Linked DNA regions of Kluyveromyces lactis. The protein of the gene in region 1 interacts with the protein of each later gene in a pairwise test. Links are inferred from orthologs where the notes say so. Each region holds a gene or a part of one and is shown on either strand. Other genes may lie near its edges.

Region 1 (3,623 bases):
AACCGTTAAATGGTAAAGTTGAGTTTCAGCATGTTTCTTTCAGTTACCCAACAAGAAAAACAAATCAAATCTTTAAGGATCTCAACTTTACAATAGAGCCAGGTTCTAATGTATGTATTGTAGGTCCATCAGGAAGAGGGAAATCTACAATTGCCTCGTTATTGTTGAGGTACTACAATCCAACATCCGGTAAAATCTTGGTTGATGGCCAAGATATTACAAAATTAAGTTCGAAATCCCTTAGAAGACAACTTGGTGTGGTACAACAAGAGCCAATATTAATGTCTGGTACTATAAGAGAGAATATTACATATGGTGTCTCTAGGCAACCTTCAATGGAAGAAATCAGATCTGTAGCAAAAAAGTGCTTCTGTCATGCTTTCATATCTAAATTCCCTAATGGTTACGAAACTATCATTGGGCCTCGTGGTGCTTTGCTCAGTGGAGGACAGAAACAACGTATTGCTATCGCTAGAGCGTTATTAAATAAACCTAAAATTTTGATTCTCGACGAAGCTACATCTGCCCTAGACGTTGAAAGTGAGGGCGCTATCAACTACACTTTGGGGAGGTTAATGAAGAGCAAAGAATTAACTATTATCAGCATTGCTCATAGATTGAGCACAATCAGAAGATCCGAGAATGTTATTGTACTTGGCATCGATGGTTCAGTTGTGGAAATGGGTAAGTTCAAAGATCTTTACGCCAACCATGATAGTGCTTTACACAAATTATTGACAGAACCTTCAGAACAGCAGCATTCCCAGCACCAACAATACGCTCCACCTGCCATAACTCAAGAATCTGAGCCACAAACAGAAGAAAATGGCAAAGATGATTCTGGTGAAGATCAAAATTCTGACCACGAAGAAAACTCACAAGATCAGAACGAGAAGAGACTGCAAGAAGAAGTTATACATCAAGTTTTAGAAGATATCAGTCACGATCAAAAAACTTCAACGCTCAGGCCATGAGTAATTGAAGAAATTTCCCACCTTCCTTTCTTACACTGCATAGGTATCTTACAAGTGCACCAGAGTTGGTACTATGTATTATTAACATATAAATATACACATAAACAACATACAAGGTACCAATCAAACAAATATATTAATATTCATATAATTTCAGCTCTCCATGGAAGTCATCTAAGCATTAATCTTTTGATGTTGCAAGCTTCCTGACCTCTACGTGCCTTATCTACCAAGCAACTTTTCCCGTTACTTCAAATGAAATCATCAATAATTAAGATTAGTTAAAATGTAAACAAAGGCATGGGGTTACGAAACGGAAAAACAGTAGGCGATAGAGAAGCAGAGATCCATTGTCCACACTAGGTGTGCTTCAGCAAGCTTCTATACTATGGCAGAGGAGCTGAAAGGATTTCCTCATGAGAGACTATCTATCTCATTGAGGAGTAATTCACAGCAATATCAAGATATTCTTTTGTTTTTTGATGATTATCAGTTTGATTTGGATAGCACCAACCAGCACTTGTGTAGTCTGGCAGAATTACTGTTAAAGTCTCATACACTGTTGGCAGAGCTGTTTTCTGATGATGTGAGCGTTTCTCAACTCTTACCGTATTTTGATTGGATTCAAGAGGGAAGATCTGAATTTTATCAGCTCTTCAACGGGATAAAGACCATCGAAAAGGTGTTGCTGCATCTGATGGAAATCATCGAAGAGGAATTTGGGTGTAATGAAGATGAACTATTCCAGAAGGAGTTGACTGCACTTTTTGATTTATTAGAGGAGATATCAGATACATTAGTGTCCATAAAACCAATCATCTCATCATTAAAAAACCTGTTCGACACCGCCATAGAGTTCAACGAAATATTCAAAGATCATATGAACAGTCTAGATGAAGAGATAGAAAACAATTTGTCTAAATGCATTGAACTTCAAGAGCAAAACTTTGAATCTCCTGTAAGACATAATAAACCTACTTTCACTTTGGATCAATTGATTAAAACTTTGTCTTCAACAAATTCTCCTACCAAAGGACTTCAGATCCCTGCCTTTTCTCCTTCAGAGCAAAAGATTCATGAAAAGCTTACACAGTTGGAAGATTCTTCGGCACCTATAGATTTGTCACTAAAACATGTCCTTTCAGAAAGATTAGATAACTTCGAGACCCGTGATGTTGTCAATTTGGAATATCTCATGCGATTGCTGCGAAAGAAATACCAATATATATTGGATAAGTATGAACTACTACAAGTTGAACTCAGAGACCTAAAGCAAGCAATTGTTGATGAGAAATGGGTTCTCATATTTACAACTTTGAATGACGAGCTACGGATTATGCTGAAAGATGTGGAGAAACTGCTGCTGAAGGTAGGCAACCCTGATCTTTCGGAGCAGCTGAAAACAAAACTGCATGATCAATTGAGAAGCAAATCGTACACTATTGATAAGACCTTCGGTATAATATACAATGCTCTTGAAAGCTCGATATTGAATGAATCAATTGCAACCGTTACCAACGAACATGCGGAAAAGTGGCTACAATTAAATACAAAATTTGAACACTTACTGCCGGAACACCAAAATGAAAATGATCCAAATAAAACTATCACACAGCTTTCCAATGACATCTCCGAGCTTCGGCTCAACGATGCACCATCTGAGAAGCCAGGTTCAAACAGGTCTAGTATTGGGGCGATATTATTTAAGAAAATGAATATCAAACCTGTCTTGGTAAGAGAAGGAGATGAAAATGATTCAAACAGCGATAATGTGAAATGTGACCGCCACAGATATTCCAATCCATTTTTTGATCCTTGCCAAGCTACTAAATTAAGTCCAAAAAAGGTACTTAACTTTAACAAAGTACCTGCTCTTTCTTTTGAACAACAACTGTCCATTTTGGGAACACTTGAATCCCGAGCATATGATATTAACAGATTGAAACAGTACGGTAAACTCCCGACACGCATCCCCAGACTTCCTTTCCAGAGACAGAAAATCATTCCACATCGTACTATTTTATTCAATTTCGATGCCAACTGGGTAAAAAAGGATAATCACCAACTGAAATTTCCCGTATCCTATGTATCTTAGTGCCTTCCGGACTAGCTCCAGATAGTCCATTCCATTGTAACACTATAAATACAATAATCAGGATAAACTAACTTTGTTAATAGGTAATTATCTAGCTTACATAATAAACCATACAAAAGTAGCTACTGACAAAATGCCTGACGTAATTAACAGGAATTATTTCACTCCATTAAAAATACTAAAGGGAATTCAGTTAAGGCTATTCAATACTTGAACAGTTCTCTTTGCGGTTGAACTAGCCGATGCTGGATTGACACCCGTAACTAACCTACCATCAGCAATCGAAAAATCATCCCATGGACCAATTGGGGCCATGTACTTTGCATGATACTTCTTAGCGATATCTTCCACAGTATCTAACTTCTTTTGTTTTAGTATATCGGCAACACCTAGGATTTCTTCACCAATATCGGTAAAACCAGTAATAACTTTACCTTGAATCAACGGTTTACCAGTATCTTTATCAGTCAAACCATCAAAGATTGCCGGACCATGGCAAACAGCAGCCACAACACCATTATTAGCATATATATCAGAGGCTATTTTTTGTAAAT
Region 2 (4,190 bases), on another chromosome or scaffold:
GTTCATCCCGTTTGCTAACTACATTAAGGAAAAGTTAAACTTCGATTTTGCATTGGCTAATACTCTGGGTGTGGAAGTGTCGGATGACGGTACTGAACAATTGAACGGTGAAGCACTCGGCGATATAGTTGACGGAGTGCGCAAGGCCAAGACGTTGGTGGCTCTTGCAGAACAGTACAATTCTCCGATCGAATCCACCGTCATGGTCGGAGATGGTGGTAATGATTTGAACGCAATGGCCGCAGCTGGGTTCGGAATCGCATGGAACGCCAAGCCAAAGGTCCAAGAACAAGCCCCATGTAAGTTAAACAGTGATACAATGATAGACGTCCTATACATCCTGGGGCACACTGAGAAGGAGATAGAAACCATGATCAAAGAATAGAAATGTAAAGAATTTATTCTGATATATATATAGTAAAATGTATATTATAAGCAGTGTACAAAAAATTTTACACGTTAGCAGCAATGGTTTGCTTGATAGCAGCCAAGTTAGCACCTAGGACTCTAGAAATTTCCTTACCGGACTTGAAGAAAACTAGGGTTGGCATAGCACTGACATCGTTGTTCTTTGCAACATCTGGCAACTCATCAACGTCAACCTTCAAGAAGGTAGCTTTACCCTCGTATTCCTTAGCGAACTTTTCCAACATTGGGGCAATCATCTTGCATGGACCACACCAGGTGGCAAAGAAGTCGACGACGACCAACTTGTCGTCAGTCAAAGCCTTTTCGAATTCGGATGCGGAAGTAAGTTGAGCGACCATTATATATGAAATTGGAGGGGATAGTAAAGATAAATTGTACCTTATTTGATGAGGATAGAAAGTTATCAGATTATCCGATAATCAATCGAAGAGACAACTAAATAACCTTTAAATGTATCTTACTTCCTTTATATAATAATGTTGGTTAAATATCGAGTTTTTGACAAATTTTTGCTTGCTAATCAGGAATCGAGAGCTGGAATCAGCTAGAACCCGTCCATTTGTAAGCAGGTGGAAGCGCCAACACTCGTGTAACGGTGTTTTGAATGGCTTGAATTGACTGTATAATGTTCAACCAACACGCATCAGCGCCGATTGAGTGATTGGAGGGGCGTGTACGTGTATAATAGATCCTACCCTCCCATTATTCAGGTTTCTGCAAACCCGATCCAAAGCATATCAACAAAGTCACGTGATATATCACATGACTTGAAATCAATCGTTTCTGTAAACAAAAACAATCAAAATCAACCAGTAAACAAACAAACAGACGAGACAACATGAATAAAATAGACGGTCAGTGAGTCAACACAGGGTGCTGCCAGCTGTATCGCGTGTGTATATCTCCCATGGATAACGCTACGGATGATTCGGCGTCTTTTCAGACTCTGTCACTAGATGAGAGACTTGTTCATAAGCTTTGGAAGGCAAGACAGCATGGATATAATGAGCTAGAAAGCACATTCAATAAACTGTCCGTTGCTAGAGTTGCAGAGAGTGGCGTTAATAAGTATTGGAAGAAACCTGAGATTTTCACGGGGTACGTATTGGATTCCAATGTTGTTGCACAAGAATCTGCCGTTAAGGCCTTGTACAGTTTGTTGAAATTTATGATCGACGTACCCCAGATCAGAGATTTGTGTCAGCCGGGTCAATTGGTTCAGGGCTGGGTTCCAGCTCTGGTGGAGAAAGGTATGACTTCCTCGAAATCAGCGACGAAAGAGGCTTCATTGGCCTGCGTTTCGCTTGTCGTGTCATTGGATGATAATATCGTAAATGCAATCAATTGTCTGACGCCGATTTGGACCAAAAAATTACCGAAGCTGTTGACTGCAGCGTTAATGGTTCATGTAAAGTTGATAGAGCAGTTTGGGTTCGTGAACGTTTCTCAACAGGAGAAGATGCAATCGTTACAGGGTCTAGTGGAAGTTTTACCTAAACTTTGCTCACATGCGGATAAATCTGTGAGGAATGAGTCAATGCAGTTGATTTTACAACTATATACATGGTTTAATAAACCTGTACTTCAAGAGCTTCTATTGGGGAAGTTGAAGCCCATACAACAGAAGGACCTGGATAAACTGTTTGAATCGTACCAGGGCACTATACCGCCTTCTTCAACACCGTCTCAGTTTATATGGGCAGTCCCGGCTCAGAGTGATAACAATTCAACTGATTTACCCTTGGATCATGACGGAGATCTAGCAATGGCAGGTAATAACGGCCAGTCTGCCGCTGCTCTGGATAACCAATCAATCGATCCATATGATATGTTCCCCGTACAAACTATATTAGATAAGCTACCGAATAATTTCTATCAGAGTTTGGCGTCTAGCAAATGGAAGGATAGAGTGGAAGCTTTAGAAGAGTTCCACGATCAGACTTTAACCAAGGTTAAAAAATTGTCAGCATCAAATGAAGATCATTCTGAAATCATTCACAAATTTTGCTCGACTATCACTTCCGATGCAAACCTACAAGCAGTACAAATATCTACCAGCAGTTTAGATATACTAATATCCGCATTAAGATCAGAATATAACCCATTCGCATTGGAAACTTTAAACGCTCTCCTAACTAGATCAAAGGAGAAAAAACCAAACGTCGCAGATTCTATTTTCAATGCTCTCCTGAACCTTTCAAAGTACTATAAATTAGAGCTATGTCTCGAGTCTGTGTTACAACACATGAAGAACAAAGTACCACAGGTAAAAATTGTATGCTCGAAATTTCTTTTCGAGTTGCTATCCAATTGGACACCGACTGAAACTCTTCATAGAACGTCGGTATTCTCCAATTTGCCAGCGATACTCAATTCTTTGCAGCCCATTGTAAACGACAATCAACAGGCAACAAGAAATGAGGGTTTCAAGTGTATTGCTATCTTAATTAAGATATTCGATGAAAGAGAACTATCAACATATTTGGACAAGCTCGATAACTTGAAAAGGAAGAAGATCCTTGAACTTGTTGATAAAGTGGAGATCAAGGCGGCAACGGTTCCACCTCCACACCAAACCCAACCGCAAACCCAATTAAGATCAGCGGCACCAGTAGTACGATCCCAACCCTTGTCTTCAACGATCCCTTCAAAACGACTGGCCACTTCTCCATTGAAACCGGCACGTAACTCTGCCTTGAATGGCAACACGAAGTCGTCCAGGTTGACTTCAAGGTCTCTAACTACTCATCAAATGATGAACCATACGGATCTGCCTTCCTCAACACAACCCAAATCTAATACCAGTTCCAACACAAGCCTCTCTGGCAATTTCACACCACAGACAAACATATCCAACAGAATGTCACATTTAAACGATGAAGTGAACAAATTAAGACAAGAGAGACAAGAATGGCTAAGGGAGCGCAACGATCTCTTATCCAACTTAAATCAATCCAATTTACAACTTTCCAAAGTAAATAAACTCTTGAACGAGTCTGAGACATACGTTTCCAATTTACAAAGGCAATTGCAGGATTCGAAGGATCAATTGAACGCTAAGAATTTAAAGATCAAGGAGTTAGAGAGTAAACTGACGGGCGGTACTTCCGATACCATGTCAACAGATTCACCCATATCCTCGTCCATTAGCAGAGGAAGATTAACAGCAACTACCTTATCACCTCTGAGATCTACTAAAAATGCTACGACTCCTCAAAGGGTCAGATCGCCTAGTGAAAGTAGCGACGATCTACCTAGACGTGTCAATTCCCTAAACTTGAACAACCATATGTTGCAAGAGGAATCGTGGAAACGAGCTGCAGAAGTTACGAACCAATTAAAGGCACGTATAGAAAGAATGAGGGCCAAATCCAGGTCCGGTTTCAACAATCTCGGCGTAGATTAAGAGAATCCACTATGTACAAAATAGATTCCTGTATAAACGACGAATTGAGCGCAAACTCCGACATGACAACCAGAGAGGGAAGCTTCCAGTCACATGACCTAGAATGCATATATTGTCCCGGGTAATATATAGCAACGTCTTCTCTCTGCTTATCTCTGGTGCAGCCTCCTAGTTTTTCCGAAAAGTTTCTTTTTCTCCAAAATTCTCCGAAAATCGTCAGATATTCCAGATATGCAACTAGAGGGAAGATACACCGTTATATGCATTTCAAAATGCAAATAACGGCAACTAAGCCCATCACTCTCAGCACGTTTCTTTTCCATGCACGTCGTTCCCACTGATGATTCCTCGGATC
Region 3 (3,034 bases), about 1.2 Mb from region 1:
TTTTTCCTATAAGAAGAAATTCGAATCACGGGGTCAGAGATATGGAATCAATCTGATCCAATACTCAATTAGTTTCTGGGAAGTGGAATAGTACATGTTGCGCGTTAAAGGGAGGCATTCTAAAAGCATACTAAACCCAAAAAAAAAAAAAAACGATAACTATACTAATACTAATCATAATAGAAAACAAACATTGTAATAATTAATCTAGCCAACCCACATGTGTCAATGTGTTTTCCATTCAACAGATAAAATGAGGATTTAGACCTTAGTGAACCCTTTACTTCAATTCACTTTTAATATTTCACCTGCTCAAAAACTCAGAAAGAGTTCTCTCAGGATCATCAGTATCAGCATTATGTTGCAATCATAGGTATACCCACCCCTTACCCTTTAAAGTATAACCACTTCAAATAATTTACTTCTTATGTACACTTAGCATGTTTCTGAACTAATTTCAATTAATGAATAAGTCATTTTTTAACTATTATTATTAGTTGATTACTCGATTAATTATTTATAAAATGCAATGGATATGATTATGAAGTAAGAACATCTTGAAATGATGGGAATGCGAGACCGCAAAAGTAGCTCGGGGATGTGAATGAGCTTAAGATCCAAAAGAACTCGGAAGTGAAAAATTATCATAGTGAAGTGGAAGATGCAGGTGATGATGAAGCGTAGTCGCTAGGGTTCAGCTCTTCATAAGTACAGTGCTTCAAACACCAATCATGGATTTTGTTCCATGTGCCAATTTTTTTGTATTTGTGAATTAATGCATTAAGTTGTGTTGTTGGCTTAGCAATATCGTTTATCAGAATTTGTGATAACTCTTTTAACTCTATCTCATTATCTTTGAATGAAAAGCATGAATAATAATCCCATAATTCGTCCCATTGGAAGTCTTCATGCACGATTCTTTGTGCAGTGAACATTGCCACGGACGCAATCTTAGAAGGCACTACGTCGATGAAGTGTGGGCACGAAATCATATATCCAATTAAACACTTGCCCAAAGTTCTAGTGATTGAATCGTACTCATCACATCTGGATATTCTTCGTAGAAAATTTAATGGGTTAGGCCATCCGATGTTGTATTCCAGTTTATTCAGAATGACAAACTCGGCCTGTTTGATTTCATCGTTGCTGTAAGCATTATCTGTGATATATGAGTAATTTGATAGCTTAGGAAGATTCACCTCCTCAAACTTGGCGGCAATCAATAAAGACGTGATTGCAATTAATTGTAACTTTGGTAATGTAACTTTGTTAAAAGAAAGATATCTATCCATGAGGTTTATCGAAAGGTACAACGTTTCCGGTAACAGTTGAAACTTACAATGAACCTCTATAATCCAATCAACGAGGATCGATCTCATCGTCGGTCTCAAGTAAAATTCGTAATTTTTATCCTTCAAATAATTGATCTTTGGCGTAGTTTCAAACTGTCTCGTGTAAAGATGGTCAAAAATATCATCCGAATAATCATAACACATCGTTACATCTTCTTTATCCTGGGAGTCCAATTCTTCTCTACGTCTTTCTAAGCTCTCGCATTTCAGTCTCTTATGACTTTTCCTGGGCTCTAGAATATCATCATCTGAACGCACATCTGATTTTTGTTCCTCATCATCATCATCACGGTATATCTGTCTTTTCAACGACACTGAACTCGTTGTCTGTGAAGAGTTCCCATATATCTTATTTTTACCTTCATCGACTTGTGAATTCCTCAATGACCCGACTGAAGATTTCAGTTTATTATCGTGGAGTGGCTGCTCCGATAGCGCGACACGTTTCCTTTGGTGTGAAGACTTCTCCATTGCTTCTGCGTCACTAACACTCCAGCTGCTCCTGGTTCTCGGTCTCATCTTAAAATCTATACTCTATCGTTCTGTCTCCTAGTATGTGGTAAACATATATGCTGTATATATATATATGAAAACAGTTTCAACAGGATAGAGAAGAACTTAACCTGTTAGCGGTAACCCAGCCAGCCAATGTCACCAAAATCTTGGACCTGACAGACAACACACAAATCGCGTCTCTTTCTCTTATTGTTCTTTCTTGGCCCTAAAACAACGAGAAAGATACAATATACAGAAAAACACCGAGTAATCGACCGTGCATATCCAGTGGAAACAAACAAAATCTGTTATACACGCTTTCATAGACTAACAGCAGGTCATAAAATTCGTGAAGTTCCTTTGGAAGCTCTAACAGGCCTGTCTTGGTTCAAGGACTTTCCAATTTCGCTTTGTAGATTCGCATCTTCGCAAAGTGCTGACGCGTCAGCACGCCAAAAACGAAATTTGAAAAAAAATTGTTTCGCGTCTTCGCGTTGTCCGGATCTCAATCACGTGACCAAAGTATTCCGGACAAAATGGAAACTGTCAATTTATTTTCACGTGATTTAGACGGGAAAAAAGTCCCGTTTTCTATTTCTGATGAGAGAGAGAGAGAGACTCATTAGTATGCGACATACAGCGATTATCGCTGACTCCTCTTCCTTCGAGCGATTTGCCTGGCATATATCGTACCGGCTTACAAAGTCAGCCCAGTACAGCCAAGGAAAAAAGGCAGACGTTCGCCGAGTTCTATCAGTCTTTCGCTACTATTCCTCTATCTTATCGGTCGGTCTTTCTTAGAACGAACAGATAATGAAAATCTGATATCGCCATACGGCTCCATTGAGATTTATCAGATTAAAGGGCTCGAAGAGACAAAAGGTACACCGTTCCATAGTTAGATTATATAGTACGAGAAACCTACCGTAGGTATATAAGTAAGGTTACAACCGATTTTTGGGGGGTTTTGTCCAAGATATAACATCATTTTCTTTTGTATTCATCTGATTATTAGGAAGAACACTATCTATTAACTAGATAAAAAGCAGCGCAAGGAATATGGAAGGGTTCAAGTCTAAGTGGGAAAAATTTAAGAGATACGTTTCTGGGAGTCCAGTTGAAGGTGAGAAATACGATGAGGCTCCTAAGGTCGAGGATTTGCCTCATATGGTCGATGCAGACGGTGC

The links.
Region 2: the proteins of KAR9 (region 1) and STU2 interact in a two-hybrid assay, tested with the Saccharomyces cerevisiae proteins (2 studies listed by BioGRID). The link is inferred for Kluyveromyces lactis from reciprocal best matches to the Saccharomyces cerevisiae genes KAR9 and STU2.
Region 3: the proteins of KAR9 (region 1) and KLLA0_D15565g interact in a two-hybrid assay, tested with the Saccharomyces cerevisiae proteins (2 studies listed by BioGRID). The link is inferred for Kluyveromyces lactis from reciprocal best matches to the Saccharomyces cerevisiae genes KAR9 and CLB5.

What each region holds. Positions count from the first base shown.
Region 1 is NC_006040.1:67,190-70,812, reverse strand, and holds KAR9 (Kar9p), read left to right. Parts: upstream 1-1,362; coding exon 1,363-3,069; downstream 3,070-3,623. Other genes in the region: ATP-binding cassette permease MDL2, read left to right, coding at 1-974; KLLA0_D00704g (uncharacterized protein), read right to left, coding at 3,259-3,623. UniProt on the Saccharomyces cerevisiae protein: Involved in karyogamy. Component of a cortical adaptor complex that orients cytoplasmic microtubules. It may be involved in anchoring cytoplasmic microtubules to the cell cortex.
Region 2 is NC_006041.1:1,460,494-1,464,683, reverse strand, and holds STU2 (Stu2p), read left to right. Parts: upstream 1-1,336; coding exon 1,337-3,835; downstream 3,836-4,190. Other genes in the region: SER2 (phosphoserine phosphatase), read left to right, coding at 1-385; thioredoxin TRX2, read right to left, coding at 453-767.
Region 3 is NC_006040.1:1,315,481-1,318,514, forward strand, and holds KLLA0_D15565g (uncharacterized protein), read right to left. Parts: upstream 1,872-3,034; coding exon 645-1,871; downstream 1-644. Other genes in the region: KLLA0_D15576g (uncharacterized protein), read left to right, coding at 2,907-3,034. UniProt on the Saccharomyces cerevisiae protein: Required for efficient progression through S phase and possibly for the normal progression through meiosis. Interacts with CDC28.